Canis lupus familiaris: one gene and its partner. Each later gene encodes a partner of the first gene's protein in a complex. Links are inferred from orthologs where the notes say so. Each region holds a gene or a part of one and is shown on either strand. Other genes may lie near its edges. The genes, in order: PHF2 and VRK1.

Region 1 (14,627 bases):
TCTTTGAGACCAGCTGGGTTTGGGGTGTGAGCCAAGCATCCAGGAGGGCATGAGCTCCCCAGCAGCAGTGCAAAGAACTGAGAGCACTAGTCTGGAATGGGTGCAGGGACAAAGGGTAGGGCCTGGGGCCTTGTGCTTTTCCATCCAGGGCCCCTGGGCCACCGGGACAGGCCAGCCCAACCCTTTACAGGAGTGGCTGGCATCTCTCCCTGACAGCCTGCCCTCCAGCCCTCCAGCCATGAATCACCTAGGCCTCACAGGAGGAAGCAGCGATAACCCCCGGCCCCAGAAGGGCCCCCCCCATCTCTGTCTTAATCCACCCTGCAGGGCAGGGCTCCACAGCCCCCTCCACTCCCTCCCCTGTCTGCCTGCACACCCCTGCCCCGCCCCCCACACCATGAGCTCCTTGGTCTGGAGCCCCCTTCCTCACAACCTCCTCCCTTTCTTGCAACCTCCCCCCTTCCTACCTCCGCCTCCCCCTGGGTCCCTGGTCTCTCAGCCCACCTGGCTCTCCCAAACTGCCTGCCCTGAGCCCTAGCACCCAGCAAAGGGTGAGGCTGGGGACTGTCTTCTGAGGGACATGGGCTGGGACCGACGCCCTGAGAGGATGGAGGCAGTTAGCAGGGAGCCACAGAGGGTGAGAGAGCTGGACAGCCCACCAGAGGACACGGTGAACAAGGCTAAATGTGGGGATCTAGAAGAGGGAAATGACAGGGCAGGGCCAGTGTAGGGGGCCCGGGGTGCTGAGGGGAGCTGGTGGGGGGTCCCAGGGGCAGGGGTCCCGGGGATGCTGGGGGGGGGGCCCAAGAGTGTGTGTGGGGGTCCCAGGGAGGGCTCAGGGAGCCAGCAGGTGCTCTGATCTGAGCCAACCCAGTGTAGGGGTGCAGGAGGACAGGTGAGAAGCCTCCCTAGGACCCAAAGGGCAGAGGAGCAGAGGCTCCAGCAGCTGTGTGGATGTGGCCATGGGACACCCTGAGGAGGGTCCATTCCACAGGGAGGAAGTTGAGGCCCACAGAACCAGGAGCCTCCTTCCCCTCTTTCCTCCAAGCAGGCACATCCGCTGTTTGGGAAATGCGGTTTGCGGGGGGAGGGGGGATTGCGATCTTGAAATAACACTGGCTGGAGCTGGGGGGAGGCTGGGGGCCAGCGGGTGGACAATCAATTATGAGGATCCCGCCGTGAGCGGGCCGGGCGGGGGCCCAGCCAGGCCGGCTGTTTACATGCGTGCTCGTCTGTTTGGGGCCTGCAAATCCGTGTCAGATGTTAATGGAACAGCGTCATTTTTCTGCCGAGGTGGCATCCCCGGGGATGTTTGGATGAGGCGGCCGGCGGGACTCGGCCTGGGAAAGGCGGTCGGCGGCTGAGGAGGGAGGTCATCTGTCAGGCTGCCCGACAGCCGCTGCCCCGCCCAGGCCCCCTGTCCACCGGCGGGGAGGCACCCCACGCCCATGCTCTCCAGGAGGGAGGAGACTGCAAAGTGCTCCCAGCGGGCCCAGGCCCCTCGGCCACCTCCTGCGGTGACCCGACCCCCTGCGGGCGTGGCCGAGAGGACAGCGGGTGGGCCAGGGGGACACACTCCCACGCATCCCAGCTGGCGCCTCTCCTCTGTCCCTCCACTCGCGGTCAGCAGACCGAACAAGAGGCCCAGAGACAGGAAGTGACTGCTGGAGATCACACAGCCGGCGGCCCCTGGGTGAGAGAGGGGGTGGAGGCCTTCCTGAGGTCCCACCGCCAGGCGGCCAGGCGAGGGGTGCCCACCCCTCCTGACTCGTAGGGCCGGTAGGGGACATGACCTTGCCAGAACCTTGGCCCTGCTGAGCTCTCCACCCTCCCTGTGCCCCACTATTCCTTGGGAAGCTCACTCCTGCCCCAGGGCCTTTGCACAGGCCTTTTTGCAACCCCAACACTTACATCAGGCCCTCTGCTCAAAGACTGTCTCCTCCGAGAGGCCTCCAGCCCAGGGCCCAAGCTGCCCCTCCCGCACAGGCCAAGGCGGAGGCGCAGCGGTAAGGGACCAGCCGCAGGAAAGCTCGAGCACTCGGCCTCGCACACAGTAGGCACTCTGGAAATGCAGTCACACTGGCCACCTAGTGTTTGACAGAACGTTGTGCCTCTGCGACCGTGGGAATTACTGTGCAGGGGACTTGCTTTCCAGGACTGGGAACTAGCGGGTAGCAGCCTTTCTAAAACCCTGGATGGGGAGCCCCCTTGACAGTCCTTCTTCTCTACCCAAAGAGGGCAGAGACCCCCCCCCAAACGATCTGCCTCAGTGTCCCTCTCTGCAAAGAGAGCCTCTTGCTCGGCTGTGCAGAGGTGGGGTGGGCAGGGCTGGGTGGAGGGCAGGTCTCTGTGTAGCCTGCAGAGCTAAAGACCCTCATGGGGGGGGGGCGGCGAAACCAGGTGAGGGGACGGCACCTGCGCCCTTCACACAGCTGCCGGTGCCACAGTGTGACCTGGCCCTGCTGCCTGGAATTCAGCCCCCTGCTCCAGCCATCCCCACCTCAGGGCCTTTGCACGGCAGCCACCTTCCATCTGCTCTTGCCTCCTGGGGACCGAGAACTGTCCTACCTGCACTTGAACCCCAGCTCCACCAGCTGTGAGGCTGCATGCCTCAGTTTCTCCCTGGTTAAGATACAGACAGTCCTAGGACCTTCGAGGACAGTGGCGAGCGTGAAGCTGCCAGGACCTGGTTGGTGTAGGAACAGACCCCCCCCTCCCCCCCCCAGGCGCTCACCTAGGTCAGGACGACCGACCCCTCGCTCCTTCCAGAGTTGAGCCCCGGCGCCACACCCCCACCTCCACAGCCCCCACACCACTGGCTCCCACTCCGATGCCTCGACGGTTGGTTCCCGGCCCTGCCCTGCCCCCTGGTGGTCACTCTTGACATTTCCCCAAGGCGCCCAGTGGGACCCTTGCCGGCTGGTCCCCAGCCTGGAGGGGGCCCAGGGGCCCACAGTGCTGGGCACAGGGCGGGGTGGAGGCTCCCAGGGAGGGGGTGCAGCGAGGGGCTCCCGAGGGAGGCGAGCCCCAGGGGGTACGGGAGCCCTGGAGGGACGCCGCCTGCCTCGGGGCCTTTGCTCACGTTGCTAAAGACGTTCCGGTCTCCCCGTGGGAAGCCCCCTTACCTGGGTGTGCACGCAGACGCTGGCCAGACCTCGTCCTCCTCCAGGCCAGGCAGCGGTCTCTCCTGAGCTCCGCGACCTCTTTGGGGAAGTGCGCTGGATGATGGCTCCAGAAGGTTCTGAGCACTGCCTGGCCCAGCACGTAGCAGCTGTGGGTGACCATGGAATCCCGCTGGACTTGGGAAGGCCGGGCTGGAGCGCGGCGTGGGCCCTGTGGTGGTGACGATGGCTCCAGCCGCCCCTAGGGCCACCCTCCTCGGGCTCTGCAGGCCCACAGGATGGGGAGGTGGGGAGTTAGGGCCTGGGGTCAGGAGCCTGGGAGTGGGTGCTGGGCCTCCCCATCTGGAGGCGGTCAGCCTCAGCAGCTGACCCGCACCTGCTGCAACTGCCTTGGGAGCCCGGCGCGGGGGCAGGGGCCTTGGGCCTGGAGCTCATGCTTGTGGGACTCGTGCCCGTGGGGACGTCTGAAAGCCCAGAGGCCGGCGGTGGAGGCGGTGGGAAGGAAGCGTGGTGACCTGGACCCGGGCCCTGGGTATGAACGGACCGCACAGCCTGCCCTGCCCGGAGGGGGAGACCCCAGAAAATCCACAGCACCTGGCCCTTCCACCCCTGCGGGGTGCACCCAGGGCCACAGCTCAGACACGCCCAGCCAGGGACCCTGTTGGGACACCTTGCACAGGCTGCGGGGCCCCATGGGGGCACAGGGCACGGCCCAGGGATCCTGCGTTGGGGCTTAGGGCTCAGGGGATGCTGGGTAGCCTCTGGGAGCCTCTCCCCAGCCCTGACCTCAGCCCCCTGCCCCCAGACAAGCTCTAAAGGTCCAGTCCTGACAGCCACACGAAGGCAGGGGTACCAGGAGCACCCAGACGGCCCAGCCTCCAGGGTGCGGGCTCAGGGCAGGCCAGTCTGGGTTTGGTGGGCATCCGGAGAGGGGCCTGCAGAACAGGGCACCTGATGGCTGTGAGGTGACAGCGTGGTCACCCGCCCCCCCCCCCACCCCCGGAGCCATGGAGCAGAATCTGTCTGGAGCTGGGCAGGGATAAGACAGCAGCAAGCAGGGAGAGTGCCCAGTCGGGGGGACGTGGGCTGTTGGGGGCTCTGGGACGGTGCTACCTCCAAGGGCAGCAACGCCTGAGATGCCCAACAGAGGGGCCGCCCCACGTGGACACAGGGCACCACGGGGGGGCAGCACTTTCCATTCAGGAGAGTGGGTACCTGGAGCCCCACCCCAACCCTCCAGCTCAGGGAGGTCCTGGAGGCGCTCAGCCGCGTGGGGCACAGATGGCCACGCTGGCTGCCCAGCAGGATGGAGGGACCTTGCTGTGCTTTGTCACAAATGGCACATGATGAACTGCCACCCACACACCGTCTGAATACACTGCCCACCCACAGACGCTCTCAGCGGGGCGGCCTGCGTCTGGAGCCTTGGTGCATGGACAGGCAGCTCTGCTAGCTGGAGCCCCATGCCCAGACCAAGCCCATCGGCCCCTGTGGACCAGCCTCAGTATGACAGGCCCGGCCGGCAGCAGGGATGCCCAGCGGGTCCCTCCCGGGTGCCCGAACCCTCCGTCCTCTCCGGCCCCACGTCCCGACTGCAGGGGCGTAGACAGATCCTGCACAGCCGCGGAGCATCTCTGGGTGCCTGGCCTGCACTCACCGGCCTCCGCTAGGTACGCACCGTGGGCAGTAGGTGCTTCTGGAGGCTCCCGAGGCTGCCCGGGGCCGCGGTCACGGAGCCGGGGTCCCACAGGCCGCCGGCCCCCACGGGCTCTTCGGGCCGTTCCTGCAGGCGGCGTGGGGCACGGCGGCTCTGGGGTGCAGGGCAGCACGTGGGCCGGGCCCTCGGTGCCCCCTCCCACCACCCCCACCGCGGGAGCAGACGCTGGCGAGTGAGCAGGAACGACACAGACATGGTTCTGTACAAAACCTGAAATATTTTTACTCTTTTAAAACTTTGATCTAAGCTGCCTTAGACCTCATGGACTCGATACAAGAGTAATATGAATTGGGAAATAAAACACTTTAATAGCCACGGTAAACTTTGTTAGAAATGTACATGTTGCCAAATAATAATAATAAACTTTAAAAAATAAAAGAGAGAGAGAGAGAGAACAGCTTGATGGCCGGGTTAGATTATATAAATGTTCAACGAGGATGGGAAAGGAGCCTCGCAGACGCCGGGACGGCACGGTGGGCGCCGTGGGCGCCCTGCGAGCTCGTCCGCCAGCCTCGGGGCCGGCCTCATGGACACGGCGCCCGGGGACAGGCGTATAAACAAAGCTCATAAGAAATGTACAAATATAAAAAGCTACAAACATTAATAAATTACAGCATCACAAAACACAGAAACACTTCACAAGGTGCTAAGTAAAATAACTGCATCCCCACCCCCTTCGCCAACGAGACGGAAAGAAAGAGCTGGTGTCCGGGTCGGAGACCCCGCGCCCGCCGCGTGGAACGGGTCTGGGGCGCGGTTTGCTGCTGCAAACACACAGAGAAGGCTCCGCAGACACCACTTGTTTTTCAGGCAATACCTTAGTTCCTAAAAGAAAAAAGTAACACCAACAGGAACAACAAACAGAAAGAAGGAAGGCAAACCCAAGTGTTCGTCATACTCGGCAAAAAACTCGTATAAATGTTAATGACGGACTCTCTAGAAAGAAATTCCTAAAGATACTTTTACTCTTATAAAAAAGAAGTTATTTAAAAAGCTATTTACACGCTACATTCTATGAAAAATATGCTTCAGGAGATACATCTAAAATTAAAATACAGGATTGCCTGAGAAACAACTCCAGCCCCCTCCATGTCGACGGGCGGACGTTCAGTCCGGGGTCCACCTGGGGACTCGACACCAAACACACAGGTGACAAGACAGACGTGCTGGGCCCCGCGTCCTCGGGCTGCCCGCCGCCATCCGCCCCGCCAGGCGGGGTGCCTCGGCTGAGAAGTGCTTCTAGGAGTGTAGCCGGGGGGGCAGCACGGGGCCCCCCCCACGGCTTGGCCCAGGCCCCCAGGCCCCACATCACAGCTGGGCCCGACCCTGCCTGGGGGGAGAGGGGGAACCCCGTGACGGCGCCCCCTCCCCACCAACACACTGACCCTGCTCACGGCCCCGGCGTCCCAAGAAAGGCCCCAGCCATTCAGGGCACGACACCCAACATCCGGCCCGCCACCCGCCACCGGGGAGCACAGAGGCCCCTCTCCCGGCCGGGCCGCACACTCTCTGGACTGTCTGAGAATCACTCAGGAAGAGCAGGGGGGCACAGAAGACCCCACTCTCTCCTCCTCTTCCTCTCTAGTGTTCTTTCCTTTTTTAAGCCTCTGGAGCCTACCGGCCTGTGGCCAGCTCGGACTCTGGGCCTGGTGAGCACTGGCTCACTCCTCCTTCCTCGAAGGACTCATGTTCCCAACAGAGCTGCAGAAGCCCTGTGATCACACCCACACTCAGGGGGGCCCAGAGGCTCTCCTGGAACTGGAATGGTCCTCAAACAGGCAGGGCCGAGTTTCGGGAACTGGTCACTCTAAGCAACTTGAGAAAGGACGTCCGTCCGCGTCGGTGCGCTCTGCCGGCTGAAGCAACAGATGCTCATATGGGGGGAGTGGTGGCCGGGAGGGCCAGGCCCTCCCCAGGGTGAGGCAGCGCAGCCGCCCTCCTGGGGGCTGATGTCCTAGCGGGGCTCCGGGGGTCCTGAGCGGAGCAGAAGGATCCTGGCTTTCCAAACTTTAAAGGAGCAGTTTTCCATTCCGATGAATTTTCAAAATTTTCCCAAGCCTCTGCTTGGCGGTGGCCATGCCCTTCTTTGTACGTTTTCCTGCAGGCAGAGGAGATGGAAATGTGCCAGGTGAGCAGAGGTCAGGGGAGGCCGGGGTCCCACCCTTGGGGCACGGTGACAAGGGCGGGGAGCACTGCTACAGGGGTGAGGCACAGGGTGGAGACAGGTGGGGCCCAAGGGACGGTGGGGACCAAGGACCTCACAGCAGTCCTGCCCCCAACGGATCCCCTCGGGCCCTCCCAGGAGCCTTCAGCCTGGCACTGACCACACCTCCTCCTGGCCAGGCCCTGAAGCCCAGGCCACCAGACCCGCCCGGCCCATGTGTGACCACAGCTTCCTGTCCAAAGGGCCGAGGGGTGGCTGTGGACACATGGCCAAGCTGCACAAGGAACCTGCCGTCCCCACGGTATAGCCGTGGGCGGCCTGGGGAATGCAGGCACGGTACCTTTGGCAGCGGTGTTGTTGGGGGATGATGCGGAGGGCCGCCTCTGCGTGAGGAAGACCCCGGGGGCCATGGGCTGGGAGGCTCGGCCAGCCTGCGCCCCTGCAAAGGCTCCAGCCGCCGTGTATTCGTGGTCCGCCAGGCTGCTGCTATGTGCCTCAGGCGGGGGCTCAGGTGAGCTGCCCTCCTGGGAGGCCTGGCTACTGGCTGTGCTGGTAGAGGCCGGGGTGGTGGAGGCCGGGGTGGTGGAGGCCGAGGTGGTAGAGGCCGAGGTGGTGGAGGCCGAGGTGGTGGAGGCGGACGTGGTGCTGGCAGACGTGGTGCTGGCAGACGTGGTGCTGGCAGAGGTGGTGGAGGCGGAGGGGGAGGGCGTGTTGGGAGCCAGCTTCCTCTTGGTGTTCTTTTTCTTTCTGCTCTTCTGCTCCTCCTTTGGACACAGCACATGGGCGGCCTCAGACGCTGAGTGGCCCCTCAGGCCTCCTGAGCGAGGGGATGAGTCCCCTGCCCCATCACCCCCCATTACCCAACCCTGAGTGGCCAGTTCCCGCCTCCCCAACACCCCCCAGGGGTCAGCACTGCTCCAGTGACCCCAAGCCCGTGACAGCCCCTGGCCTCCCCTGGGAGCAGAGGTAGGCTCCCTCCTCACCTGCTGGGACAGCTTGGCTGCAGCAGCTGCCAGCCCAGTCTCGATGGAGGCCACCCTGGTGCCCTCGCGCACAGGCCTGTCCTGCCTCGGCACCGATGGCCCAACCCTTGCTGTGGGAGAGAAGGACACCTGCTCGAGCGGTGTCCCCCCATCATCTGCATGCCCTCCCAGGCCCCATGACCCGGCCCCCGTCTGTCCAAGATCACAACATGAGCCCCGATGTGAAGGGCCCATGCCAGCAAGACAGGAGCAAGCAGGTGGGGTCATGCAGATGGTGACAAGCCCCCCACCCCCATGGCTGCCATGACCCTGCCAGGTGCAGTCATGGCCTTCCCAGGGGTGCTCTCTCAGACCCCATGGGGACCCCCACCCACCTAGCCCACTCACAGGAGGAGTGCAGCCCCACTGAGGCCCCTGCAGGCCCCCACCCCCACCCCCGGCCACAGCCTTGAAGCCAGAGGGACGGGCAGGGGGCGCCCAGTTCCACACACTACCTGTGGGGCTGTAGGGAGCGTCGTCAGAGCCTTTCCTCCTCTTGGACCGGGACTTGAAGACGGGACTGTCCTCATCCGACTCCAGAGAGGGATAAACTACGGGGTGGGGGGAGGACCTGAGCCAGCGACGCCGCGGGGGACAAAGCTTCTGTGGGCAGGTCTGGTGAGCTGCTGTCCCCCCCAGAACGGCTGCCCCATGCACGGCATAGGCGGCCCCCAAACCATCGGGCCTGGCCACAGGGCCTCCTAGCAGGTCCCCTGCTCTGTGGCTGCAGAGAGGGAAACACCCAGCATCCCTGGAGCCCACCCAGCGGGTCCCTGGGAAGCAAGCCCCACCTGATAGCCCTGGTGACCCCAGGTGCCCCCACTATAGGGGTGTCTTGCCACCTCCAGGGCCTGCCCTGCCCCCCAAGGGAGCTCACTGCCAACAGCCTATCAGACTGGGGTGGGTCCCCAGCTACCCGCCCAGCTAGGCCCCTACTGGCCCCCAGCCACCCCCCCAGTGGCACCCCCAGCCAACTCCCAGCCAGGACCCCGGGAGTGGAGCAGAAGGTCCAGGGCCAACCTCCACTCGGAGAGGGCTCTTCTGGGGGCAGGAGCGTGAGCTCCAAGGCAGCCCCTGCACCACCAGAGCCAGCACCCCTGGGCCCTAACCACCCCTGGGGGCAGGCCATAGTGTGCAGGCAGGTCCTCGTTCCTGAGACCCTCCCCAAGACCGGCAGCAGCCCCCACCGAACTGCTGGGAGCCCCAAGGGCAGGGTCTGAAAGGCTGTGGTCAGTGGTGAGGGGTCAGCCCTGGGGACCCCCCCACTCTGCCCACCTCCAAGGCAGCCGCTCTGGGCCTCAGTGTCATTTTCCACACCGAGACCGACCAAGTGGATGGGGTCTCAAGCAGTGTGCAAGCGTATGGCCGTGGGGTGGCTGGGCCAGGGCAGGGCATCTGCCCTCCACCCAGAACACCACCTCCCAGGTCCAAGCCCGGGACACCCCACACCTGGCCTCACAAAGCCCCCGCACCTGCGTCCACAGCGCAGCATCCACAGAGGTGATAGGTGGAGGCCGCCAGGCGACTGGGATGGGAGCAGCCGGGGGAGGTGGGGGGTGAGCCCAGCACAGGCTCGGGGCTGTGGGCACGCGCCCTGGAGAGCCCATGAGGACAGCGTGTACCACACATGGCGCACACGCACGGGGGCTCTGTGGTGGGGCCAGGGGCATTCCTCCTGGGTGGCGATAGTGGCACCCCTCCCCTGGGGACACCTTCCGAAGGCTGCCTCCCGTGTCCTGGAGGAGGCCCGGCCCCACATGGCCAGCACCGCGGACAGGCCCTGCCCGCCCCTGGGGCTCACCGTAATCCGAGTCCTTGAAGCAGGCGTCCAGGTGGTCCTGCTCCTCCTCGTAGTCGTCCAGGTCCATGCTGTTCTTGGCCGCCCTCTTCAGCAGCCGCTTGCCCGCGCTCTTGCTGCCACCCCCGTTCTTCCGGGCCCCGTGGGCCGCCAATGAGCTGCCCTTGGTCTGGCCGGCACCCCATGTGGTCTGCAGGCAGGAGTCAGAGGCCTGCAGGTTGGCCATGGACAGCATTCCCTGAATGGCTTCCTGTGTGCTGGGGGAGGCCGGGGGCTGGCTGGGGGCACAGAGAGACAGGCACTCAGCTCAGTGCCCAGCGCCCACCGCCCCTGCTCCCTCCCACTCAGCGGCGAGGACACACGGCTGGAGCACAGTGGTTGCTCATGACTCCTGCTTAGGAGAGGGGCCCTCAGGGTGCCTGGGTGGCTCAGCAGTTGAGTGTCTGCCTTCAGCCCAGGATGTGATCCTGGAGACCCAGGATCGAGTCCCACAGCGGGCTCCCCGCAGGGAGCCTGCTTCTCCCTCTGCCTGTGTCTGCCTCTCTCTGGGTCTCTCATGTATAAATAAATAAAATCTTTTTTTTTAAAAAAAAAAAAAAAAAAAGGAACAGCCAGGTGTCTGCCCTCACACCCTGCAGGGACAGAGAAGGCGTGGAGCAGGGACACAGGGAGGGGCAGACAGGGAGTGCCCATGCGTCTGATCGCAGCTGCCCCTTCCATCTTGTTTTCTACCAGAGGGCCACATGTCAGCTCAGCCCCAGGTCCTCAGCCACCCCCATGGGTGCTGTGCTTTCCCAAGGCTGCCTCCCACTGCCCTAACCCTGCACCCGCAGTCCCTAAAGCTCCAGCTCCCCTCCCTCCAGGACTTGCTCTCTGGCTCCTGAGACACCCCATGAGGCTGTGCCTGGCACTGTGCTTTCTGCTGGGCTCTGGGCGGGGCACAGGGCCTCTCCCTGCATCACCAGGGTCCTGGACATGGCTGGATGGGGAGAGCTCACAAAGCACAGGTCTGGGCTCCTCTAGAAGCTTCATCCTCCTCATCCCTGTGGACCCTGTCATGGGGGGCAGGACAGCCCACCCTGGGCTGCAGGGCCCTACTGAACTGACCCTCCCTCCAGCCCCTGGGCCCCAGCAGCCAGGCACAGGCTCCCACCCCGTGCCTGGCTGCTGGGGCCCCACAGCCCTCCTCTCCTCACAGACCAGAAGGCCCAGGGAGCAGGGTCCTCTCCTGATATCGGACGTCCAGGCCCCCTCCTGCCTGCCCAGGTGCCCCAGGGGCAGGGCCCACTACGGGGTCTTGCAACCCCAAAGCAGCAGCCAAAGTGTCAGTCCAAGCAAGCCCTGTCAGAGGTTCAGCATCATCCTGCATCAGCGGCTTTCACACCCTCCCCTACACCCTTCCCCCCTCCCCTCCCCCCAAAGTGTTTTGGAGCACATGTAGTAGAACCCTTAACCTGAAAAGGGACCATGAGTCCCCACGCGGAAATGAGAGCTTCCCAGGCCTCGGGCTGGAGGTTGGGGGTGGAGCTGGCCCCCAGGGAGCACCCAGGGCCCAGGGAGGCCAGCGTGGACAGAACCGTCCTGCTGGTCACTGCTGGCTCCAGGCCCGGGCACCGCCCCAGCTCCCGCCCTGACACAGGACCACAGCGCTCTGGTTTCTGCTGGGGCCAAACAGGACTGCAGACCCAAGGCCAAAACAATGAAAAGGTCCAGTCCGGGCAGCAACCCCCACCCCCGGCAGAGGCAGGAACTCCCTGCCACGGATGCAGCCTCCCCAGCCCCACTGCGAGGATCTGCCCTGGAGCACAAGGGCGCTGTGCAGCACGGTCACTGGGGGTCTCTGAACAGGACAGACCTCTGCCCACAGGGGAACAGCAGTGGGCTCCCCACCCCCTGTGACTCCAGGCTCTGGGGTGTCCACACGGCCCCTCAGCCAGGGCAGGGAGGGCTGGGGCCAGGGCACACACTGCACAGGACCCCACCACCACCATGGGGTCCCTGCCCAGTTTGGTTGCTCCAAGGGGCAGGCCTGAGAGCCCAGGGCCGCAGGCAGCAGGGGCCACACGTCTGTCCACACACGGCCAGTGAATCAAGGAGCACAGTCTACCTAGCTCACATGGAAAATAATCTCTTAATCCTCCAATTATCATTCCAACATTCCCCTACCCCTGCGGTGCGCACTGCCAACCATCCACAACAAATTAACATATTTCCCTCCATTTTTTTCAGCTTTTTTTTTCCCAGCAGCGAAAACTTAAAACAGAGCAAATGGACCATCAAAAACTGACCTGCTCTCCAATCGGGAGATTGGGGAGAGGAACCGCCTGCAGCGGGGAGAGGGGGTGGGCCTGGCAGGCATGCATGTGCACGTGCGGGTGGTGTGAGGGCACATGTGAGTGTCTGCAGGTAGTGAGCGTAGCACTGCACACAGGCCGCCCTCCTCCCGGGCCGGGGTCCCGGTGTCCCCCGTGCAGAGACCCTGCTCTCCAGCATCTTGACCTTCAGGCAGCACCAGGGTAATGGTGCCCCCAGGGGCCAGCACCAGCAGCAGTGCCCTGCCCTCAGTGAACCGGGGTCACAGCCAGGCTTGTCCCAGCAAAGGGGCCTCAGGCCCCGTCCCACCACGGCAGAGGCCACAGGGCATCTGTGGGTGAGGGGCCCTTGGGGCACCTCTACAGAAGTCCCTCCTGGCGGGCAGGAGATGCAGGCCTCTGGCCATCTGAAGGGAACATGGCACCCAGAACAGAGTCCTGAGAGGAGACTCAGCCATTCGACTCCACCTCCTTGGCTTTGGGTGTCTACACCCACCGGGAGCAGCCTCCCTGCGGGTTCACGCGGCCCTGGGACCTGGGTTCTGGAAACATGGCCTCACCTCAGAGGCAGATGTAGGGGAGCCCCGTGCAGGCCCCTTGCAGGCCGCACAGGCTGCCCTTCCCCGGCAGGTCCCCCTGCCTGGACATCGATGCCCAGCACATGCAGACCCCTGGGACCCCACACCCGGGTCCATCAACAGGCAGGTGGGGCTCTGGTCCCCCAAGGCGGCGGGGAGCCCCAACCCCTTGGTGAGCTGTTTGTGCTACTTGTGGAAATCCCATGTGGGGAAAAAATGAACACAACACTTAACCCAGTTTAAGCAGATGGAGAGAGAATTCAACTGGGACCATGTCCAGAAAAATGAGCCCGGGCCCTTCATCCAACGAAGCCTAGAGGGGTTAGCTGGTTCATCTCCCATCAGAGGCCAGGCCACCCCGGGCCTTCACGGCCGCAGCCACACGAAGGCATGTCGGGGTGCACACGGGGCTTCAGGACAGTCTGGTGTGGCCCCCGTGCCCCACGGGGTGTGGCCCTGGGAACCCTCCTCGGGCCACAGCTCTTCCATCCCCAAGCTCTGAGGCCATGGTCTCCATCCCTGCGGGGTGAGGTCTCTGCAGCCCCAGGGCTCAAAGATACCACATGCCCTTGACCAGGAGGCTGGGTTTGCGCCATGGAAAATTTACTACATGACCTTCAGAGCATCTGGGTAGCGTCCAGATGGAGCCAGCCAGACGTCACGGCTGGAGCTGAGTGTCCAGGACTGTGGTGGGTGGGGTGCGGCCCCCTACTCACCTCCCTGGCCACTAGGCAGCCCCTCTGTGGGGCACGGGTCCTGCTCTGGCTGCCCTGCCTCTGCGGTGAGGGCACAAATGGCCCCACGTTGGCGTGGCCTGGGCTCCTCCCCAGGGGTACCCGCACCCCACGGCCTCTCTGCAGGCACCCTGGACCTACCTGTTGGGGTTGTACTCAAGGGCTCCCACCTCCTCGCTGGCCTGCAGGAGGTCCAGGATGCCCGCCGCCGAGCCCGCACCCTCCTTCTTCACTTTGGCGTTGCGGGCAGGCTTGGTGTCTGTGTCAATGTGCAGTGAGCCCTCGTCAGAGGAGTCGTCGCTCTATTGTGGGGACAGGGCCACAGGTCAGAGGCTTTAGGGGACCTGCTATTTCCCCCTGCACGGAAAGATGTTTCTCCAAGTTTTTAAAGAGCCAGCCCTTGTAATGGGCACCACAGGGCCAGCTGGCCAGACACACCGTACAGGAGATTGCCGGAGCTTTCCACTGGGACTGCAGGCCTGCCCGTGGGACGGGGCTGTCCTGATGCCCTGTTTCCCCAGAGGACCCCAGAGGACCCTGTTTCCTCACAGGGCCTCCCACATGAACCCCAATCCTGACCAGAGATACAAGGAGCTGGGGGGCTGGGCAGGGAACAAGTGGAAGCTCAGACCCACAGCCCCTGGCAGGTGGCTCTGCAGGGACCTGGCCTCCTGGGAGCTGCTGGGCCTGGCACCATCTGTCATGGTCATGGCAGGGCAGCCACCCGCAGAGACCCACAGACCCCCGCTTTCAGCCCTCCTCCACGGGGCCACGGCCTGAACCCTGGCCACCCTCCCCATGAAAACACCCGAGGAGAGGCAGAAGAGGACAACCCTTTTGCAGCCCCCACACCAGGCCATCAGCAGGGTCCTGCGTGCGCAGACCAGCCCAAGGCAGGCATGGACACACGGCTCGGCCTCACCTTGTAGAGTGCGGACTCCAGCTTTGGCTTCGTGACGGGCGTGGGCAGTGGCTCCTTCCCATCCAGTAAGACTGAAACACAGCAGACGGGCGTCTGGCAGAGGCCACGGAGGACGGCCCACTCCCCACCCTCACGCCCTCACTCACAAGACAAGTCTCTCTTGGGGGCGGTCCTCTTCCTCCGGATGGGAAACTCGTCAATCTTGAGCTCCCCGTCGTCCGACACGTACTCGTACTCGTCCCGCACCGGCTGTGGCTT
Region 2 (14,627 bases), on another chromosome or scaffold:
CTGATGAGTAGGAACAAAGCAAATGCACCTTGCATTTATTTCTCTTACAAATAAGGAAGGAAGCATGCTCCATATCCTTAATGTGAAAGGGAGCCCTTCAGGCTTCAATTCGGTGTTTCATATTAGATATATGATCTACCCATAGCATCGTCCCCCTCTTTATGACGTTTCAGTCTAGCTGATGAGAAGAAACAAACATATATGAAACGATTAAAACCACTAAGTGCTGCTAAATTGTGTAACTCCAAATCGTTCATGTCTTAGGAGTTCCGAGATTGGAGAGAGAACATAGTTGGCACAGCTGAGTTGGAGAAAACCTCCCATACTTTAAAGTGATTGATGTTTTAAAAATACTTGAATGAATGACTGGAGCTTCTTGGAATAAGGCTGGTAGCTATATGAAGAGTAGATTTAGTCTGGCTCTGGGGGTGTATTGGGTGCTTTCAGCTGCAGGTAAAGGAAAAATGACTCAGCTCTCTGGAGTGATCATCTTGCTTCCTTTATCATGCCCTTTTGCCCTCTTCTTGGCTTTGTGCTGTATTAATTCTCTGTTATGTGGTCCCAGGGTGGCTAGCTGCCCTATTTCTAGGCATCACATGCAAACACAGCAGCCCACAGCAGTAGAAAGTATTGCTTGTTGTGTGTTTCATTTTCCTGCAAGGGAACCTCCCTTCCTCTCGTGTTTTCTTGGTTGGGGTTGTATCAGTGCTCATTCTTAAACTAGTCACTGGCAAAGGCCGAGCGATCACAGTGATTGGCATGGCGGAGCACGTGGCCACGTGGAAGAGGACAGAATGCCTGAACCCAGTTGGTGCTTTGTTGAAAAGGATGGAGAGGAGAGGTAGTTGTCAGATAGGCAGCCAGTGTTGTCTTTTACTTGGAAGTTCTTATCATGGGATCTGTGTATCCCTCAGCGAGTGTGCGAACTTCCTGAAATAATGGCGTTTTGTTATATAAGGTTTTGCTGGGACGATTCTCTATAGTTCTCATGGAAATTTTGGAGAAATAGTATAGAGCAAGGAGTTATTATGAATAGAGCAAGGGTTCTAGAGCCATATTGTTGGGTTTCAAATCTGTGTTTTGCTCCTTAAAATGTATGTGACTAAGTAAGTTACTCCTTTTGCCTTGATTTCCTTGTTTGTGAAATTGAATAACAGCTACCCACTTAATAAGGAGGATGAAACAAAAGCTATTAGAATATATGTAAAATATTGTGTTAACTTTTACTTTCAAGGGGATTTTAATCCCTTAAATGTTCAGAACTACTGATTTAGAAAACCATTGGAGAGCAGGATAGCATCTCAGGTGGGAGAGTAATATGAATGCAGGGCCAGGGTAGGATTTTGGCCTGTTGTGTGGCACTCAGCATCACTCTTTCACCAGGAACAGGGTGTGCATTTGGAAGGGAGAAGGGGCCTGAGGCTGGTAATGGAGACTGGGGTGAGGAGAGGAGAGCGGTGTGGAAGCATGGAAATCTTCACCACCTTCTTTTGTAAGAATGCTTCTCCCACTGAATAGTAAAATGAAAGTTATTTCTAGGTAATTCCTCCAAGGGAAAGCCATCAATGTCTACTTTCCTGGGGACTTAGATAAAATGGCACAAATGATGGGAAAATCAGTTGATGTGTATAATTTGAAACAGACGATTAGGGGATTATTTACAGTAGTGGTGGAGTGGTCTATGAATAAAAACAAAGATGTACTCAGTGTGATGTATTAATAGATCTCATGTTGAATTAAGCAATTGTGTTTTAGCCCTCTTTTAGACTGTTAGCAGAGGTTGTATTTTCGTTACCCCTGTATTATATTATACTAATTACATCACTTATCATAAAAACAAATGTGTATTTGTGTCCTTTTGTCCTCCCTCCAAAATCAAGTTGTACAAATGAAATCAGGAAGTCAGAATTATTGTTCCTTCTTTATGATGATAGAGATCATGGTGTACTGGAAAATCTTGCACGAATGAATGCATTTTGCTCTAATTATATGACTTTGGACAAAGCATTTTATGTGTATACACATTAATTTATTTATTAAAAGATGTTTAGATAAGAGGATCTCTCATTCCCTTCCACTTCAAAAATGAATAGAATCCTGATTTTTTATTTGTCATGTTATCTTTTAATGTTAGCTTTCCTTCCCTGTTGAACTTGTCATATGGTATTTGTTGTAGGCTTCACAGATAAAAATAAGTGGGATTTTTTGTGTACCACTGACGTTTATTTATTTGGATATGTGAAAAAGAATGACACCATCACTTCCTGGAAGGCAAATTACCAATCATCAGTTTTCTTCTGCTGTAAAATGGGGTGAATAGGAGCCTCTACCTCATGAGGGTGATGTGAGGTTGACATGCACTAATACATGTGAAGTAGACCAAGGCTTCAGTGAGTGATAGGTGTGGTTATGATGATCATCATTAATCTTATCCTCATTGGAAGATACATTGTGAGTGTGGTATTGGTTTTTACGATTTTTCAGAGTGATTTAACCAGGCAAATCAGAATCTGGAAAACTTGGTAAAGATAAAAGTGATCCTTAGAGCATAAGGTGAACTGTGTTACTGGACTGAGGTGTTGCTGTTTGGGCACACACAGAAGTGTCACGGTTGTCGAGGGTTAGAATTCAAGTGCCAGAAAAGACCTCCGTAGACATGAGGCCCCACGCTCTCATTTGACACCCGGGGGAATCAGGGCTCAAAGAAGTGATGTGAGTCAGCCAAGGTGACCTAGTGGGTTTGTGGCAAAATCAAAAATCTGCACATTTCCCCAGGATATTTGTTCTTCCCTAACTCTTGTCCTTTGAGTATTTAACATACAGCCCTTTTATACCATTTAAACAATTTCATTGAATTTAGCTATTATTATAGCATCTTTGGTATCTTGATTTTAATAAAATGTTAATACTGCTAAAATGTGCCCCCAAAATAGAGAAAAACGGTCACAGACAACAAGCTAATATCCAGAAACATGAATTGACTTTGGCGGGAAGAAAATCCGTGATACTGGTCTTACTCATATTGTCTTATCTTTCCTGTGAATGAATCAGCTGGAGTCAGTCTGTGGGCTAATTACCTTATATTGATGGGTGTCTCAGGAAACTACCTGGCTGCCACCAGGAGAAGGCCCTCAGGCAGGACAGGGAAGTATTCCCAACTCTGAGATTTCTAGTTGGAAAAAATGGTTTCAAATGTTTGTCTTTCTTTCCTCCTTTCTTCTTTCTTCCCTTTTCCTTCTGCTTTCTTACTAAACATGGACTTGAAAAAAATGACTGTGAGAGTAGTCCCTGCAAAGTAGGTTACCCGAGTTCTGTTTTGTTTCATTGACTTTTCTTGTTTGTCTTTAGTTACAGGTTTATGATAATGGATCGCTTTGGGAGTGACCTTCAGAAAATATATGAAGCAAATGCCAGAAGGTTTTCTCGGAAAACTGTCTTGCAGCTAAGCTTGAGAATTGTATGTGAGCTACATTCCTCTTGTTTTAATCCAGTGAAGGCGAGTTGCGTTGAAGCTCGGTCCTCTGCTGGCTGGTGTTAGGTACTGCATTAATTTATTCTATATGGTGCTTTCATAGCTGGATATTCTGGAATATATTCACGAGCATGAGTACGTACACGGAGATATCAAGGCCTCAAATCTGCTCCTGAGCTACAAGAATCCTGACCAGGTAGCATTGTTAAGTTTAATTTCTACTAGTTAAAAGCTGTTGTTTGAAAACAAATATGGTTGCTTTGAACTTTTGAACCTGTGCAGAAGTTTTACTTTTTGGAGTCGATATGGTAATAATAATATTTCTTCTTGACACTTTTATCTAGTTAACATTCTACATTTTTGATGCGATTTGTTGGCACTTTATCAAGTTGGCTATTTTGCCCTAAATAATATTCAGAAGAAGTGCTTGTGATACAAAATGAATTTCAAATAGCTATTTGGGGGTGGAAGTTTAAAATTATATAGTGCACCGATGAATTATGTTTGCCTGTCTGCTTTGTCATTTTTTTATTTCCTTTGTTCAAGAAATCCATCAAATGTAAGTGTTCTATTACTTGGAAAATTTGGTCTTTAACATGTTGATTATTCAAATCAATTGGTTTACAGAAATATCTTAGCTGTCTAAATTTGTATACCCTTAGTGTTTAGAATTCAAATGTGCATTTTTTTTTTAGTTTATTACATTCACTTTGTAATTTTTACTTTTTAAGGAAAAGAGAAAAGCTAATGTTATTATATCTCTATTTGGATCAGTTTAGTCAGAATAGAAGGGTTTATACAATGTTCTTGAAGCTGTACCACAATTTTGGTTAAAGTAAGGTTTGACGTAGGCACTCCTGGTAGGGCCACTGAAGGAAATCAGTTCCATATGTGTTCTTGCATCTTATTGATGGTGTGTAAGAAGGGACTGTCTAGGTATTTGAAGTGTGTTTATGTTGACACTCCACTTTATTCTTTTTCTCAAACCAATCTTTGACTTCCTCTTGCTTAGTTTCCACTTGTCCCTTCACCTTCCCTTTATTGTCCATCTGACATTGTCCCCCCAGCCCCATCTCTGTCACAGTGGCTGTCAGGGGTCTTTCCGTGCACAACAAAGGAAAGTTGTTATATTTGTAGAATGCTCATGGGGAAGTCTTAAAGGCACTCGCAGGATTCCCAGACATCTTGTGTTAGATGTTTTTAAAAAGGTTAAAAGCAAGCAAGCAAACAAACAACATAGCTGAGGATTCCATTAAGCATAAGGATTCCATTAATTGAGGCGAACTGTACTTGTACAATGTAATAAATAAAAATACCATTGATTTCAGTTTGCAATTAACCAAAATATGCTGCCTTTTGTTTATAGGAAAATATTTTTGCATCTCTGTTATCCTTCGGGCATATGCTTTGGATGGGATTATTTTTCTAGTGTTAGATGTGTGTGTTAGATCTGTCCCTATATTTTTACTTCAGTTTCCTCTTGTGATCACATGCATACATTTGTGAGACAGTTACCCAGAATTAGAGATGTGATACATGGCTATGGATTAGAAGAAAGCCAAATTTACTAGCTTTTATGCTCATCAAACCCACACATACATGCCCACAGATATGTGCTTTGTAGTATTAAAATTTAGTTTTAATTATGAAGCTTTATTATATAATATTTAAATTATGTATTATATAATATATCTCATATATTATAGATAAAAGTCATCTAAAGGTTCTTCAGATCATTATTGTAATCTGAACTACTTTTATGAAATGAATTGATAATTAGAATATTTTGTAAGTGAAGGAGCAGAGGAATAGAAGATAATGTATCATGTATCATCTACACCAGTAGTCTTATATTTGGTGTGGGGCAGTTGTAACAAATATTGATGGTTTCCTCTCTGCCCAATTATTCTGTTTTAGACCCTGCAAGAAAAAGTGCAAGATTTATAATCTTTGCTCAAGTTAGCAGACAGGATTAATTACAAGTATAACATGCTTATTTTAAAAAGTATATAAAGTCAGGTGATAGTGTCTGGAGTTTAGTGACATGATCACTCAACATTTTTCTTGAAATAAGTCTTTCAGAATTGGGGCACCGTGGTGGCGAAGTCCATTAAATGTTCTGACTCCTGGTTTTGGCTCAGGTCATGATCTTAGGGTTGTGAGATCAAGTCCTGTGTTGCACTGTGCACTCAGCATGGAGTCTGCTTGAGACTCTCTCCCTCTACCCCTCCCTACCTGTGTACACACATGCTCTCTCTCTCTAAAAATAAATAAATAAATCTTTAAAAACAAAAAAAAGTCTTTCAGAATTCAGTATTTGCTGTTGTTAGCATATTGGATCTCACTTGTTGGGGGGTACAGTGGTGTGGCCTTGCAGATGAATCCACCTTTAAATGAAGTATTTTATCTCTGGGCCATAAAGGATTATATGTGCAATCATTTTGGCTTTGATTTTACCTTGTGCTTGGACATTTATAGGTGTACTTGGTAGATTACGGCCTTGCTTACCGGTATTGCCCAGAAGGAATTCATAAAGAATATAAGGAAGATCCCAAAAGATGTCATGATGGCACAATTGAATTCACCAGCATTGATGCGCACAATGGTGTGGGTATGTCAGATTCCTCCCTGGTTCTTAATCTTGTACAAATAAACAAGCTGATAAATAAATAAGAATTGCAGAGGCAAGGTAAGGCCAGGGAGGGATCCGGGGAAGAGGTTAGACTCTTCCAGCCCTGTAATCTGCCACCTTGTCTTTCCCTGTGGTCCCCTTCTGTCCTTCACAGACGCCATGGTTTGAGCAGGGAAGGTGGTTTGGTTCAGCTCAGGATTTCTTTTTGGTTCTCTTTAGCTTAGTTGAATGTGGGGTGTTATTCCCCCTAAAAGTCTATAAGTTTCTTAGGCAGCCATGACTTGGCGGCAGGCAAACTGACTTTCTTACCTGTGAAATCATCCTGCTTTCTTTAGCAGGCATTTTGCTTTTCTGGGGCCCGTACAGTATAGAGGAGCTGAGACCCCCAGTTCTCTGGGCCTCTCCGTAGCTCATAGCATTTTAGTGTCTTCAGGTTTTCCAAGAGCAATATTAAATGTGTCTCCACTTTATAGTTTATTTCCTACACTCATAGTCTTAGTTTGAAACTCTAGAGTTTGCCAATTTGGATTTTAAAGTAAGCTGTTAGTTGGATGTAAATGACTTCTTTCGTATTGCCAAGTATTTATTCAGTACTTTTATTAAATGCAATGATAAGTTTTGATGAAAAACAAGACTGTAAGATTGGCTGTTTTACTTTATTGGTTTGTATATATTTGAAACTATACCTGAAAGTGATTTTAGTATCCTTATCCTGCTTCTTTTGTATTCACAGCCCCATCAAGACGTGGTGATTTGGAAATACTTGGTTATTGCATGATCCAGTGGCTTAGTGGTCATCTTCCATGGGAAGATAATTTGAAAGATCCTAACTATGTTAGAGATTCCAAAATGAGGTAAAGGAAAACTTAAATTATCTTGGGCAAAATCATGATAAGATAAATGTGTATGTCAGAATTTCTTGAAGAGACTATAGTTTTAATGGCTACTGATGTAGAAATAAGAAAGTACTTGCTAAATAGGAGGAGTCCTTGGTTCTGTCTTCTGTTTATTTTAGAAGAAAGCCTGTAAGCATATTTAGGATGTAACGCAGTGCTGCTTATTGTGCTATTTACTGTCATTAAATATTAATAAGTTTCCATGGTATAAAGCTTCAAACAATGACTCATTCTTTAATTTTTAACAGATATAGAGAGAATATTGCTGGTTTGATGGACAAATGTTTTCCTGAGAGAAACAAGCCAGGTAGGAAAAGACTTCTTAAATGTTCATAAGGTTTTCGTTTTCTGGGAGAAAAAGATTAAGAATCATGATGTGCACAGCATATCCCGTAAAGTAAGAGCTTAGGTATTTTCAAGTGTGATTGTTGTATAGAGGCCTGTTCTCATCATGACAGCAGACCCCTTTCCAAAGGTGGACTAAATGGGGATTTGAGCTTCCTTAAGTTATTGTTCAACTTTCAGGAAAGGAAACCAAATTTCATTCATAAATTCAACTTTTTTTTTTTTTTTTTTTTTTTTTTTTATTGAGGCTTGATTGAATGCCAGGAACTGTTCTAGATACTAGAGTTACAACAGTAAACTAAATAAAGAGAAATTTTTGTCTTCATGAAGCTCATGTTGTAGTTGGGAGAGACACACAGTAAACACAGGAGTGATTTTATAGTATATTCTGTGGTTAGTACTATGGAAAAAAAGAAAGTGGGGAATAGAATTAGTGAGTGTGGGGATGAGGTAGGGAGTACAGTCAGGGGGAGTTGGAATTTTAAATAGGGTGGCCAGGGGGATCCCTGGGTGGTGCAGCGGTTTAGCGCCTGCCTTTGTCCCAGGGCGCGATCCTGGAGACCCGGGATCGAATCCCACGTCGGGCTCCCGGTGCATGGAGCCTGTTTCTCCCTCTGCCTGTGTCTCTGCCTCTCTCTCTCTCACTGTGTGCCTATCATAAATAAATAAAAATTAAAAAAAAAAATTGGGTGGCCAGGATGGCCTTATTGAGAAGGGTGACATTTGAGCAGTTGGAGATAGGGATTGAGCTCTGTGCAAGTCTGGGGAACAGTGTGTCTGGTGAACTAGAGGACTGCGTTGTTTTAGGCCATCCATTATAAGGGCTTTGGCTTTTACTTTGAGCAGGAGTGTAAAGTTTGGAGTAGACGAGTGACATCAATGTGTATTTTTAAGGGAACTCTCTAGCTCCTGTTCTGAGAATAAACTGCTAAGGGAGGAAGGCAAGTATGAGCAGGAGCCGGCTAGGAGGGCCACCACAGAGATCCAGGGAAGGGAGGTAGCAGTGGGAGGAGTGAGAAGTGGTTACTTCACACATATTTAGATGTCTTTTCAAGCCCTTGCTCATTTGTCTCCTTTTTAGGGTAGTCCACTCTGACCTTATGCAGTTTAAAATTGCAGTCTTACCAAGTACCATATGAGAAATGGAACGCTATAGGCTTTTCAGAGTCCCCCCTTGTGCCTCCTACGAATCATGAGCCTTTCCCTCTAGGCTAATGAATAACTTGCCTGACTTCCAACCCCTAAGATTTGTTTTTGAGCTCTATAAAAAATGGAATCATAGAGTGTGAACAACGTAGATAAAAATCCCTGCCCTCATGATCTTGACTGCTAGCTCTGTTGGAGTCCTGTTTCTTTTACTCAGTATTGTATTTGTGAAATGCATTTCCATTGTTGCATGGGGTTTTTTCTTAATGTTTTTACTTATTTATTTTTTAACTTTATTGACAAATACAATTGTATACATTTAAAGTGTACAATGTGGTGATTTGATATATGTTTATATCATAGAATGATTAACAAGATCAAGATAATTAACACTTCTATTACCTCACAGTTAACTTTGTGGTGTATGTGTGTGTGTGTGTGTGTGTGGTGAGGATGCTTAAGATCTACGCTCAGCCACTCTCCAGTCTGTAGTACCAGATTATTAACTATAGTCCCCATGCTGTGCATTTGATCCTCATGGGACCCCATTGTTGCATGTTTAACAGTGATGTGTTCATTCTCATCTCTAATAGTAGTCTGTTGTATTTATATCCTATTACTTAACTATTCTGCTGTTGATGGTTTCCAATTTTTGGCAATTATAGATCCCCTGTTACAGATATAGATGTTTAGTCCACCTAGCATTGATTATTGTGCCTTATATAAGGAGGGGCCAGATTTTTTCCCACCCCCATATTTATAAACAGTTGACCGAGTAGCTTTTCTTGAAGAAAACACTTCTTGTCTATGGTGCTACCTTTGTCTTAAATCAAGTGTGGATCTGTGGATCTGTTTCTGAACTCCTTCTTTCTGTTATTCTTTTTGTCTGTTCTTGCGCCACAGTGTCATAATGATTCTGACTGAGTCTTGACATCTGGTAGTATAAGTCCTTCAGCACTGATGCTCCTTAACTTGACTTTGGTCTTCTGCAATTCTTGACCCTTTGAGTATCTGTGTACATTTTAGAGCCACCTTGTCAGTTCCACACACATCCCCTCCCTTTCCAGTTTGCTGGAATTTTGAGTGGGATTGCCATGACTCTAGATCAGCTGACATCCTTGTACTAGTGAGTCTTCCAATCTACTAATAAAGTATATCCTCCACTTCATTTCTTTCACTGTGTTTTATAATTTTGTCTGTAAAAAGTCTTGCCTGTCTTCATCGTATTTGTTGCTAAGTATTTGATGTTTTTTTGATGCCATTGTAAATGATCTGTTTTTAAATTTTATTTTAAGATTTTTTTTTATTTTAAAGAGAGAGAGCATGTGTGTGTGTGTGTGTGTGTGTGTGTGTGTGTATGTGTGTGAGAGCAGGAGGAGGACGGGCGGAGGGTGGGGGAAGCAGACTCCCTGCTGAGTACAGAGCCCATTGAGGGGCTCGTTCTCACGACCCTGAGATCATGACTCCTGCTGAACCAAGAGTCAGAGGCTTAACTGACTGAGCCACTCAGCTGCCCCAGTGATCTATTTTTTAAGAAATTTATTTTCCAATTGCTTGTTGCTGATACATAGAAAATGATTTTTTAAATATTTACCTTGTATTCTGTAACCTGGTAAATTTACCTATTAGTCCCATTAGTTTTTTTTATAGATTCCTTAGGGTTTTCTGCATACAGTGCTGTGTTTGTGGATAAACTGTTTCACTCTCTTTGCCTTCTCTTTCTTTTCTTGCTTTACGGTACTGACTAAAAGCGTAGATGACTATTACACTGAACAGAAGTGGTGAATGTGGACATGCTTCACATTTTACCCCCTCCGAAGGAAGGTTTTCCATATGTGACCTTATTAGGTGAAGTTTGCTTTAGATTTTCCATAGATCCTCTATAGATTAAGAAAATGAAGGGAGGGATTTCCATTTCTTTTTTCCTCACATATCCCAAGTACCTAGAATTGTGCCTGTCGCATGGTAAGTGCTAGTCAGTGTTTGAATGAGGGTGTGTGTGTGTGTGTGTGTGTGTGTGTGTAGTGCTCTCAGGATCTCTTGGTTTATGGCATGTGGGGTGTGGGAAGAGTTTTTGGCTTGAGCTGGAAGGATGGAATTCTCAGTAACTGGGGTGGGAGGAACTGCAGGAGAGCAGGTGGAGGGATAGGTCAGGAGTTTGGATTTGGATTTGTTGGGATTCAAGAGGATAGTTGGAGATCCAAGAGGAGTGGGCACACAGGTTCCTGGGGGCCAGTGGACGGATGAGGCTGGGGATGTAGGAGTCGTTAGCTTAACGATGGATTTCTGGCCTTGAGGAGTGTCTATCTTGACTAGTAAGATTTCTTTTTAGGGGATTGGTCCTGCCTCAGTGTACAGTGAGCCTTTCATCATTCAGAAGCTGATTTTCCTCTTTTATGGGAAAAGTAGGTCTTGCTTCTTTCTCCCTTCAACTTGGCTTTGGTATGTTTTATTTCCCATTTTCACAAAGAATGCAGCTATTTTCTATAGAATTAATGGCTTCTGTGGCAAAAAAAAAAAAAAAAAATACGGCTGTGATCGTCCTTGTACTTAAGTACCTTTTACTTTATAATCTGTTTGAGGTCCTTTCCTGTTTTGTTTTTGTAGCCTTAAAACTACAGCAGTTATTTCGTGCATGTTTAAATTTTAATATGTGTCTCATCTTTTGTCCCTTAGAATTACAAAAATGTCTTTTACATTCTATCTCAAAATAAGTTTCTTATTTCACTTATCTGACAGCTCCCGACTTCAAAAGCGTACTTTCTATTGAAGAAGTGATTTATGTAAAAAACATATTTTAACAGGATACACATTTGCATTCTAATTTTACTGTGAGTTATTTTCTTAGAAGTAAGAGATAAATCTGTTGTATTTGTGATTAAAAAATTACAGAACAATTATGTTACTCTTTTAGATGAAATTGCTAAATACATGGAAACAGTGAAATTACTGGGCTATGCTGAGAAACCTCTCTATCAGAACTTGCGAGACACTCTTTTGCAAGGACTAAAAGCTATAGGAAGCAAGGATGATGGCAAGCTGGACCTCAGCCCCGTGGAGAATGGAGGCTTGAGAGCAAAGTCAATGACGAAGGTGAATTTTGATCCTAAGTTATCCTTTGGCCTCCTATGATGATAATTGCCGCAAACTAATTTTAGAGAAATAAATCAGTAAAGAAAAATGTAACAGATTGCTTGGCAATTAAATATCTATCACCATTAGGTAAAGGCACAAAAACATGTAGGGGGTTGTAGAAGAATGAATAAGTATCAGTTTCTTATGTGCAGTAGCAAGTTAGTAAATTCCTGGAAAGATTGTCACTTGGGATACTGACCACTGACAGGGGGATTGGGATGGGGCATGCGATTTAGAGTGTGGGTGTTTTTTTCTCCCAGGCCACTGAGTGCGGTTGGTCTTCTCTCTTAGCTTTTCCTCCTTTGTTGATGTGGTCAAAGCATTTACCGTTTGAAAATCAGTGTTTGAAAATGACTATTTGAAAATTAGTGTTCGAAAGTTTCTTTGTTTGCTGGTGTGGGGTGCTTACCATTTGACCATTAGTTTGCTCTTTATAGAAATGTCATTATGTAAAGCTATGTATCTGCATAGAAAGAGGTTCACTTATCGGACAGCTATGTTAACAGTGAACATTGTGGGCAAAGTATTGTGCAGGCATGTAAATAACTTCTTGGTATGACTTTAAAATTAACTTATTGGATATTTTTAATTAAATTACTAACTCAGATTTCCTTTATAGTCTGAAATTATTGAATAAAATGTGCTACCTGCATTTAAATCAAAAAGAAGAACTACTCTTAGAAAAAAAATATTTTTTTACAATACTACTTTTCCTGTTACTGACTCTGTAAATTCCAGTAGATTCCTTTGGAAATCTCCAAACTATGAGAAAAAGGGTTTAAAAGCAAATTTTCTCTTCTTAAAATAAGAAGCAGCATTATTAAAAGGTTTTTATAATTCTTTTTAACTTTATAAGTTAATGTTATAAAGGAGATGGGAATTTTGAAATTGTATCTTGAATTTGACTTTTTTTTGGCAGTTAGGTCTCTGTGTAGTTTCGCTCCAAATCTGAAATTATGCACATGCACCTACATCTAAATTTTTTTCTTTTGTAAGTTTTGTCTTAATTGCATCGCTCCATTTTTGTGGTCAACAAGTGTGCTGAAAGCCATGTCCAGTTTTGAAATGAAGAGGATAAAATGGCAGCTCGAGTGGGATTTTTCAGTAAGGTAGTAAACTTATAGTTTGCATGTATGTGTAAACATACAGCTTGCACCTTTCTGCTCAGGACAGGTTTCTGTGCATTAATATTCATAGATAGCTTCTGTGGTGTTTTCCTCTAAAATTTTGCTGATTGAGAAATAAAGATCTCTGTTGCAGTGAGAACATGTCCAGTGCCATACCCTCTTACTTTTCAGATCACTGTTATTTGGACTTACATGCTGGAGAAAATTTGGTTTCTGCAGCTTGGCTGACTTTATAGCTGAATAGGTCAGTCTGCTGCAGAGCTAACATCTGTGAACTTAAAATTCTCATGTGTCCTTGGGTAGTTCAGAAGGCTGGAAATTTCCTGCTGGATCATCCCCTACATGTATAAAGCTTCATTTAGAGGAGGAAAAAAATGACTAACAACTGAACTATTAGATTGCTTCATTAGTTTACTGCTTTTTTTGCCCCTACCCTCATAGCTGACCCAGGCCTATTCTTTGTATTAAAAAGAAGTTAATAAAAGTTCAGATTAGGTAAGATCCTGAAGCTGCTTGATGGCCGTGTAACTGTAGATGAGTTGTTAATTTTAGGTGGCCTTTTGTCTTGTTTTTGTAACCTGAACAAGTTGGACCAGACCAGTTTTCTTTTTTAAGTTTTTTTTTTTTTTTTTAAAGCCCAGAACATTTTCTTCAAATACATTGTAAATACTCCACATTTAAGGCAGATAATAGCAGAGCTCCACCAACTGAAAAGTTAGGGACTCTGTCTCTACAAGGGAAAACTTTCCCTTTGATAAATTAGTATTCCATCTTTTTTTTTTAATTTTTTAATTTTTTTTTATTTATGATAGTCACAGAGAGAGAGAGAGAGAGAGGCAGAGACACAGGCAGAGGGAGAAGCAGGCTCCATGCACCAGGAGCACGTTGTGGGATTCGATCCCGGGTCTCCAGGATCGTGCCTTGGGCCAAAGGCAGGCGCCAAACCGCTGCGCCACCCAGGGATCCCTCCATCTCTTTTTTAGCAAGGGGTGTATAATCAAGATGTCGTTTTTTGCTCTGGTTACTAGGAAGCTCAGAGTTAATTATGCTTAATCATAGAAATTATGCTAATCCTTATAATTAGTATGTATTCTCCTTTCCCTTTGTCATAATTTCTTAAAACTTTTAAGTATGTACTCTTTGTATTTACGACACTCAAATCTCTTTTGGAAAGGGATAATAGTTTTAATTCAATATACATATTTCTTTTTATGTTCCTGAGAGTTGTCCATGATGGTAAGAACATATAAAAATTGGTTAGCAGTGGAATGAAACAAGGTTTCTATCCATTTTTAAATAGCCATGCTTGATTATGGTACAGTAAATTTGGAAACTAGAGTGAAATATGAATTTTCCCACTTGAAAATGTTTTCAGCCTCAGTAGCCTAAGAGTTTTATTTAAAGCACAGGATTTGGGGATAATATAAAGCTGAAGTAGAAAAAAACTAGGTATCAGTCTACCTTTAGGAAGTTCACAGCCAGAGATTTTCATTGTTGATCAGAACTGAACACTTGCCTTAGAATCGGGCAGTACAGTTCCAGCACTGGATTCAGTGTGTACTCTTAAACCAACATTCAACAATATAAAGGTCTAATTTATGTACCTGGTCTAGGCTGGGTCCCCGGGGCTATAAAGATCAATAGCACGTAGTTCCATCCTTAAAGAATTCCTCCCTGTCCGATCTGGGTTAAGAACAGCTTAATTTACTGGAAAGAACTCAGCAAGTTAAAAGGACATTAATACCTCCATTAGCTATTTTCTTGTAAGGTTTTGATTAAGTTACTTGCCCAAGCCAACAAAAGGGGCTGTTCATTAGAATTTCTCAAGTCTCATCCCTGGAGATTCATTGAGTAGGTCTAGAGTGTGGCCCTGC

Evidence for each region.
Region 2: the proteins of PHF2 (region 1) and VRK1 are in contact, whole or in part, in a crystal structure (PDB 8F8Y), measured with the Homo sapiens proteins. The link is inferred for Canis lupus familiaris from reciprocal best matches to the Homo sapiens genes PHF2 and VRK1. Residues at the interface, in NP_005383.3 of Homo sapiens: Tyr7, Tyr14, Val16, Thr17, Arg18, Phe19, Met20, Ile21, Glu22, Trp29, Glu39, Ala42, Ile45, Asp46, Tyr48, Lys64, Tyr145, Ser147, Glu150, Lys175, Val178, Asp179, Tyr182, Ser183, Thr184; in NP_003375.1 of Homo sapiens: Pro2, Arg3, Val4, Lys5, Ala6, Ala7, Gln8.

The regions. Positions count from the first base shown.
Region 1 is NC_049222.1:98,905,616-98,920,242, forward strand, and holds the end of PHF2 (lysine-specific demethylase PHF2), read right to left. Parts: coding exon 14,516-14,627; intron 14,441-14,515; coding exon 14,370-14,440; intron 13,750-14,369; coding exon 13,589-13,749; intron 10,102-13,588; coding exon 9,827-10,101; intron 8,577-9,826; coding exon 8,481-8,576; intron 8,097-8,480; coding exon 7,987-8,096; intron 7,768-7,986; coding exon 7,344-7,767; intron 6,938-7,343; coding exon 6,849-6,937; 3' UTR 5,037-6,848; downstream 1-5,036. UniProt on the Homo sapiens protein: Lysine demethylase that demethylates both histones and non-histone proteins. Enzymatically inactive by itself, and becomes active following phosphorylation by PKA: forms a complex with ARID5B and mediates demethylation of methylated ARID5B.
Region 2 is NC_049229.1:65,853,566-65,868,192, forward strand, and holds part of VRK1 (serine/threonine-protein kinase VRK1), read left to right. Parts: intron 1-3,348; coding exon 3,349-3,457; intron 3,458-3,575; coding exon 3,576-3,668; intron 3,669-5,950; coding exon 5,951-6,083; intron 6,084-6,837; coding exon 6,838-6,958; intron 6,959-7,248; coding exon 7,249-7,307; intron 7,308-11,405; coding exon 11,406-11,584; intron 11,585-14,627. UniProt on the Homo sapiens protein: Serine/threonine kinase involved in the regulation of key cellular processes including the cell cycle, nuclear condensation, transcription regulation, and DNA damage response.